Linked DNA regions of Daphnia pulex. Each later gene encodes a partner of the first gene's protein in a complex. Links are inferred from orthologs where the notes say so. Each region holds a gene or a part of one and is shown in the gene's direction. Other genes may lie near its edges.

Region 1 (3,645 bases):
GCACTGGGCTGTGCCAACGGACGCATTGAAATTTGGAGCCATAATTCCGGTTTGCGTTGTCTTTACGACGACGGCAGTGGTGTCGGAGTGGCCAAACTCAAAGTTTGTGGCGAGTATCTTCTAGCTGCCCGATTGAATGGAGTCCTGGAGTCGTTCCAGTTTCACGCCGATTTCGACAGTCCTGTGGAAGATGTCAGCCACCACGTTCATTCTCGTCGTGGCGCCGACGAGTACGACGAAGAGGACCGATCATCTCCATTAGCTTTCCGTTTGGTCCGGCTCAACTGGGCTAGAGCTCACCAACAGCCCATCTCAGTGTTGGACGCTTCGGCTAGTGGCAGCCGCGTCGTTACGGGTTCGCTGGATCATTGCCTCAAAGTCTGGCGACTGGAAACCTTGACAGCCCTCTACTGTCTTCACGGGCATCGCGGACCCATCACGGCCATGTTTATCGACGAAGCTTACCCCTGCAGCGCATCGGGAAGCGGAAGTCAAGACGGAATGCTGTGCATGTGGGATCTCTCCAGCGGGACTTGCGTCTACAGTTTGCAGGCTCATGACGGTAGCGTGTCCGTCCTGACTTACACCTCCTCGTACGTCATCAGCTTGGGCGCCGATGACAAGCTGTGCGTTTGGGAGCGATTTCAGGGTCATCTGCTCAATTCTCTTTCCTTGTCCCGTCTGGCTCTGTGCGGCAGTTTAGCTATGCTCAATGATCGGTTACTTGTCACCAGTCGGCAAGGATCCCTGGTCGTCTGGGATGTCCGAACGGGAGAATCGATCCGTGAAGTTCGTCTTGGCGATGCCGACTCGAGTACTTTTGTTCGTAACGTCATGGTCGTCAGAGACAACGTCATCTGTGACTACGGAACGCAGCTTCGCATCGTTTCTTTCCCCATGATTTCCACCCACAAAGTCGAGTAAATTATTGTGAAAAATTGTTAGCTTTTTTTGGTCTTTTTCCTTCCCTTTTTTTCCCCCTTTTTCCTCAGCCTTTTTCATTGTCTTTTTCAGATTCTCTTTTTTTCTTTTACTTTAGCGTGTCACATGTGATTGGGTTTGTGGATGACAACATAGAGGCTATTGAATTCTACAACAAAACATACCAAAACTGTTGCCGATTGAATAAACCGACTTTTTTTCATTGGAATTTGTTTATCCTAGAGATCATGACTTCATTTACGTAAAAATGGTGTCTTCAAAAAATTAAAAATCTTCATTATGTCTTATAATTTCGATGGCGCTACTGTCGCATCGAAAAAGATCCGTCTGCTAGCCCCTTAACAGTCAGCTGCTCATGCTGCTTAACTTACGTCAAAGTGGTCTGTGTGCCTGTGTTTGCAAAATAAATTTTTAATTTCATTGTTAAGAGTGAAAATCCACCAATCCATAATTTTTGGATAGCTTGGAACCTATTATCCACTACCCCTTGCTACCCCTTAACCATTCCCGCGTAACAGATATAATTTCAATTATGGTACGTATATTTAGATGATTATTTTGAGGAAGCCGGTCTCAGTTTTGATATGATAAATGGTTTATTTGAACATGTGAACTAGGCCCTTCTCATGAACGACATAGTGCTACCGAAGGAGGCTGATATACCTAATCTGTTGCTGCCAAAGCATGCAAGTTTCTTGGCAGCATATGGAAACAATAAGGATGATTATGAATTTTGTATGACAGAGTACTTGAGAATGAATGGAATCTATTGGAGTTTAACAGCAATGGATTTGATGGGCAAACTTGGTGAGATGGACAGAGATGGTATTATTTTATTTATAAAGCAATGCCAGCATGAAAATGGAGGTATAGGAGCTAGTGTAGATCATGATCCTCACCTTCTCTACACTTTGAGTGCTGTTCAGGTTGGTAATGAGAGTTGACTCACTTCATATGCATCTGAAAATTGAATTTTTTTTCTTCAGATTTTGTGCCTGTATGATGCACTTGATGCAATCGATTGTGAAAAAATTGTGAATTATGTCAAAAAGTTGCAAAATGATGACGGAAGTTTCTGTGGTGATCAATGGGGTGAGGTTGATACAAGGTTCTCTATGTGTGCAGTTGCATGCTTGGCTCTTTTGGTATGTGGATTTACTGATTGCAATTTTTTTATGATTAACACATATTTTTGTACACATTTTTACTCCAGGGAAGGCTGGATGCTATTAATATTGATAATGCAGTAAATTTTGTAATCTCATGTATGAATTTTGATGGAGGGTTTGGATGCAGACCTGGCTCTGAAAGTCATTCTGGGTAAGTTCTAAGTTGAGATAATTACAAAGGAAGAAATAATACTGTTTCTTTTTTGTGGTTACCTTTTCAGTCAAGTGTATTGCTGTGTTGGTATGCTGTCGATTACAGGTCATTTACATTTGATCAAAGCTGATAGCCTTGGCTGGTGGCTATGTGAACGGCAGTTGCCGAGTGGCGGTAATTACTTTTGTTTTTAGAAATCTTTCAAATAGACGTCTCTTAAACTATGTAACTCAATTGTTATTTAGGTTTGAATGGTCGACCAGAAAAATTGCCGGATGTTTGCTACTCTTGGTGGGTAGTTGCGTCTTTGCGGATTATTGGGCGAGTTGATTGGCTTGATAAGAATCAGTTGAGAAAATTTATTATGGCCTGTCAAGACGTCGAGACAGGCGGATTTAGTGATCGCCCAAATGACATGCCCGATCCATTTCACACCCTCTTTGGTTTAGCGGGTTTATCTCTTCTCGGTGAATCTAGTCTTAAAACTATTAATCCTGTATTCTGTATGCCACAGCAAGTTATTTCCCGGCTGAAAATTCAACCACAGATGTTGTCGTTATAGCAACTTTATGAATTATTGCTTTAATTGTCCTTCAGAATACAAAAAAGGTTTTTGCATAATCGACATCTAACACATGCAAACTACTGAACAAGTCATGCGTAAAACGTAATCTATTTTCGGCACCAGTATTTCCATTACAATGTTGGTTTAAAACAAATTTCAACGTGTTTGGTATCCGTTTAACTCTAATTTACCTGATTTTTTAGTTTCCCTTTTTGACCAGAGATTAAAGGGATGTTCCAACCCTTTTGTTTTTAAATATTTTAGGTGGTTCAGTGGAAGAAATTTTATTTTCTGAGAAATACGCCTTCAAAAAGTGTAAGTGACAACTATTCTTAAACATAATTTATTTTTCATCAAGTGGATTGCAATATAAAATTTGTCAATATTTCTAGAAAGCTCAATGATAGTCTATTCAACACAATAACCACTTTTTGTACCAATCACCACGAGTATGTTTTCGCGCATCTTTAATTGGCATATTTTCCATCCAAATCTTAGGCTGAATGAACCTCGCCTGTATATGCTAAATTGTCTTCTCCAAGGTCTTCTCCATTTTGTTGATATTTGATTGCCTCAATGTTTGAGGGCTTGGAATCGCTGGTCTCAATTGCAGGAGATTCATCCGAAGAAGTTTGGTATGATCGTGAGCGCCAGAACTTCACGGAGCCCGAAGATATTTTTGTCGAATTACTGGTGGCACGTGAAGCAGATTCCTTGATTTTGACCACACGGTCCCTAATCATTTTGTAAACTTCGGTTTTGCAAACGAAAAAGTAAAACATGGCCGGTCCGATCAACATGTAGAGAGAAATACT
Region 2 (3,688 bases), on another chromosome or scaffold:
GTAACTTCGTGACTCTTACAATCTTATGTGTAATTATTTCTGAAACCCGCCTCTTTCTCCCCCAACACACTCTTTCACTCGCTCGACTTTGTTATCAGATACAAATACAAATTAAATCTCAAGATGAGATAAAAAAATTCGTTTTTCAGTCTTTTATAATTCTCATGCTTTTGATACCATCAAAACAGCACTTGGAACTAATCCTAGCACATCGAGTGGCTTCTCGAACTCTTCTTCGGTAAATACTTTTCTAGGAAAATTTGTTTGAATCCGAAATGGTTCCGGCACTCCGGCATTTACATCGGTCCTATTCATTTGAATGAAGAGACGAACTGAAGCTAGCTGCTCCTTAGCACCAAATGTTTGCGTCATTGTCGATCCATTTGGAAGTCTGGAAGAAATAATAAAGAGTTATGGAAGAGGGACTTGCGTCATCCAGAATGATTTATAACCTTATTTGGATTTTCGTCTCCTTATAGTCCTTGGGCTGATTGGGTGTTGTCGGTGCCGGAGCCGGAGCCTGAACTGGAGGAGCTACATATGGCGTATTGGTTGCGTCACCGGCTTTCTGTTTTCGTGCCAATTTATCTTGTTCAATTTGTTCTTTCACTCGCTGTCTGGCTTTTTTCTCTTCTTCTTTTTCGCGCCTCCGTTCTTCGGCAATCTTTCTTATTTCATCCTCTTCGAATTTCTTTTTTATATTGAGAAGCTCCTTGCCTGACTGTATTCTTCTTTTTTCTTGCTCCAGTTGTTCGGCCTTTTCTTTCTCTTCACGTTCTTTGCGCTTCAACTTCATCAACTCCTCCACTTTCCTCAGTTGTTCCTTCTTTTCTTCTTCAGTGAGAGGCTTCTTTTCATCAGTAGATTCTGAAAACTGGCTGTGACCGGTTTTCGCAGCATGAAATTCTACCTCTTCATTTGTGCGAAATAGTCTATTACATCTAGAGGAAATTTTAAAAAACATATGTAAGAAATTCAATGGTTGACTTGAGTTCCATACTTACTCATCACATTTAATAGATTTGGCAGTAACAGCAGCCATTTCAGCATTTGATGCTTCAGGTTGAGCAGCAGCATTTGGTTCTTCCTCTTTCATTTCTTGATTGTTGTCAGTTTGTTGATTGAATTTCTCACTGTTCACAATCAACCAATCCATTGCAGCTTCAATATTTTGGTCTCCAGTTTCTTTAATAGCCTTTTCACTTTTCAAATTTCAAAGAAATATAACAAAATATTAAGTTGCCATTTAAAAAATATAAAAGGTATGAATTATTTGGAATTAAAACTTACGCTAACTGTTCAGAAAATCCCATTTCTAGTAACAGTTGAAGATTTGATGACATTTTCGGTATTTCGTTCTTCGAAAAACAACAGAACAGAGGTATGTCGTCCGACTAGCGCTAGCAATGTCAGTATGTTATTAAAAAAGTGACGATGAAGCCTCTTCTGTTGGTGTGATTTTGCCCCAAAGATTTTTGTAAAATTTTGTGTTTTTTGTATTGAAATTTACATTGAAACCAAATGTTTTATTTCTCAAATTATTATTAATTCTACTAAAAAAGTGTTTACTTTCTTGCAATTAACTATAATTCAATTTAGCAATCTGATTAGCGCCAAATTAGCGCGGGGAAACAGCTTATTTTACGTTTATCCGCTAGAGGCGGTGTATTCCGATGCAACAAATGGGTTCTTCGGCCATTCCCGTTGTTTTATTGAACTTTTTCTCTTGTTGGTTGTCACTTTTTGCAGACTTCTATCGGATCGGATTTAACCGCTTCTGAGGAAAAACTCAAGCCGTCCACTTGAACCTTTAGTACTAATTAACAAAGGCCTCTCCACTTATCAGTAAGACGATTGTTGGAGGATCTTATATTTACTAGTCAAATCTAGAAAAATGGTGAAGCTGTATTCTTTAGCGATTTTACATCGCAGCGAGCAAGGGTCACCACAGCTACTTAGAGCGGCTTACGACCTCTCAAGTTTTGGATTTTTTCAACGAAGCAGCGTTCAAGAATTTATGGCTTTCACTGCCAAGATCTTGACTGAAAGGACAAGTGCTGCGTCCAGACAATCGGTGAAACAAGGAGGTATGTATGCAAAGAGTCATCATAAAACTCAATGTACATTATAAATTAAATGTTATTTCTTTATTGCAGAGTATATGTGTCACATTTATGTGAGAGCAGATGGACTCTGCTGTGTTTTGACGGCAGATCATGAATACCCACAGAGGGTTGCTCATACCTTGTTAACCAAAGTGAGTGCTACTTGTATGTTGGTTGAATTGAAATGATGAGATATTCTTAATTACAAAAGGTGCTTGATGATTTTGCTGCTCGGGTGGAATCATCTCTTTGGATAGAAGCAAATGCTGCCTGTGCAGCTTATTCTGGATTAGAAGCATCTTTGGCAAAATATCAAAATCCCAGAGAAGCAGATGCTCTAACTAAAGTTCAAGATGAACTAGATGAGACTAAGATTATTTTGGTAATTTAAGTCTTAAAGTTTCAATCTGTTTTAATTTTTTTTTAACCAGTCATGTTTGATTGTCATAGCATAACACAATTGAAGCTGTATTGCAAAGGGGTGAAAAACTGGATGACCTTGTATCAAAATCTCAAGGACTGAGTGATGCATCAAAAATGTTCTATAAAACAGCTAGAAAAACAAATTCATGTTGCAATTTTGGATAAGTTCTCAAGAAATGTTTATTTGATCACATTCTTGGAATGGTACTATTACTTTATTTTTTGAAGATGGTCATAATTCACATTCCTGAATGAGTTGAAATTGAAAGACATATGGTACAGTTATAAATTCATTTTTAATTTTTGAAGGGTGCCCAATAATTGCTGTGAACTTTTCTGTCCCACTCTGTTCCCGTTATGCGACAGCACTCATTTTCTGTTTCTCATAAATGTATCATATCGTAAATGATTGTGACGCTAATGTTAGGTATTTCGCTGACGTTGCATGGATTGTCGTCTCTATGATTTCATTTCACAGCTTACATCTGTGCCGCAGGTCCATCGATGTAAAAGAAATAAATTCTTCTTAATCAATTTATCAATTTGTCGCGTTCGTGGTTTATATAGTTTTGTTGCTCAAACCGATTCAAACGTAAACCGCTGAGAAGATTTTTTTTAAGCGGTACTTGAACAAGGTGGTTGCAGAAACCTATAAGGTTCTTGGGCAACAGATGAGAGATGATAGCGAAAGCGGAACAAACAGTAGACTGTGTGACGCGGCTGACGTCTGCTGTGGTCCCTGAATATGTTCATTCTGACCAAGTGTGGGATGTGACTGTTCTCTAATTCAATCTTAAAAATAAATTTCAAATCAACTGATAAGTAGTGACTGGAATAGAAGATGTTATTCCAAGGTGTTAGTTTTCTATTAGTGACCTTAACAACTTTTATTTCGGTTGGAGCTTTGGATGTCACCGGAAAAATTGCTACGAACCCGGTTTGTAAAGACGACGTGACACGTCTTTGCAGCTCTCAAATTCTTCCAAATGATTTGGCTGTTCTTGACTGCCTTCAAAACAGGAGAAGTGATAGTGATTCTGATATCAAAATAGAATGTCATTCTGTATGTTTCTTTTTTATTTTATTAAAGTACTCATTTCAGAATTAAAGGTTACATTTTTAATTTTTTTCTTTTTATAGTTCCTTTGGCAGTTCAAACT

What was found.
Region 2: the proteins of geranylgeranyl transferase type-2 subunit beta-like (region 1) and synaptobrevin homolog YKT6-like are in contact, whole or in part, in a crystal structure (PDB 6J7F), measured with the Homo sapiens proteins. The link is inferred for Daphnia pulex from reciprocal best matches to the Homo sapiens genes RABGGTB and YKT6. Residues at the interface, in NP_004573.2 of Homo sapiens: Thr3, Pro4, Gln5, Lys6, Asp7, Ile9, Lys11, Tyr37, Leu45, Trp52, Leu236, Asp238, Cys240, Arg281, Gly283, Asp284, Met285, Asp287, Phe289, His290; in NP_006546.1 of Homo sapiens: Lys60, Gln62, Asp63, Leu65, Asn83, Glu84, Tyr85, Pro86, Ser87, Leu153, Asn155, Thr156, Glu158, Arg189, Lys190, Cys194, Cys195.

The regions. Positions count from the first base shown.
Region 1 is NC_060019.1:10,894,440-10,898,084, reverse strand, and holds geranylgeranyl transferase type-2 subunit beta-like, read left to right. Parts: upstream 1-1,256; 5' UTR 1,257-1,474; coding exon 1,475-1,477; intron 1,478-1,559; coding exon 1,560-1,868; intron 1,869-1,928; coding exon 1,929-2,087; intron 2,088-2,155; coding exon 2,156-2,262; intron 2,263-2,332; coding exon 2,333-2,439; intron 2,440-2,510; coding exon 2,511-2,827; 3' UTR 2,828-2,886; downstream 2,887-3,645. Other genes in the region: sterol regulatory element-binding protein cleavage-activating protein-like, read left to right, coding at 1-924; uncharacterized protein LOC124191180, read right to left, coding at 3,325-3,645. UniProt on the Homo sapiens protein: Catalyzes the transfer of a geranylgeranyl moiety from geranylgeranyl diphosphate to both cysteines of Rab proteins with the C-terminal sequence -XXCC, -XCXC and -CCXX, such as RAB1A, RAB3A, RAB5A and RAB7A.
Region 2 is NC_060026.1:12,911,364-12,915,051, reverse strand, and holds synaptobrevin homolog YKT6-like, read left to right. Parts: upstream 1-1,670; 5' UTR 1,671-1,894; coding exon 1,895-2,087; intron 2,088-2,156; coding exon 2,157-2,257; intron 2,258-2,316; coding exon 2,317-2,487; intron 2,488-2,555; coding exon 2,556-2,693; 3' UTR 2,694-3,066; downstream 3,067-3,688. Other genes in the region: UBX domain-containing protein 1-B-like, read right to left, coding at 163-391, 453-941, 1,005-1,202, 1,291-1,343; Golgi apparatus protein 1-like, read left to right, coding at 3,370-3,591, 3,669-3,688. UniProt on the Homo sapiens protein: Vesicular soluble NSF attachment protein receptor (v-SNARE) mediating vesicle docking and fusion to a specific acceptor cellular compartment. Functions in endoplasmic reticulum to Golgi transport; as part of a SNARE complex composed of GOSR1, GOSR2 and STX5.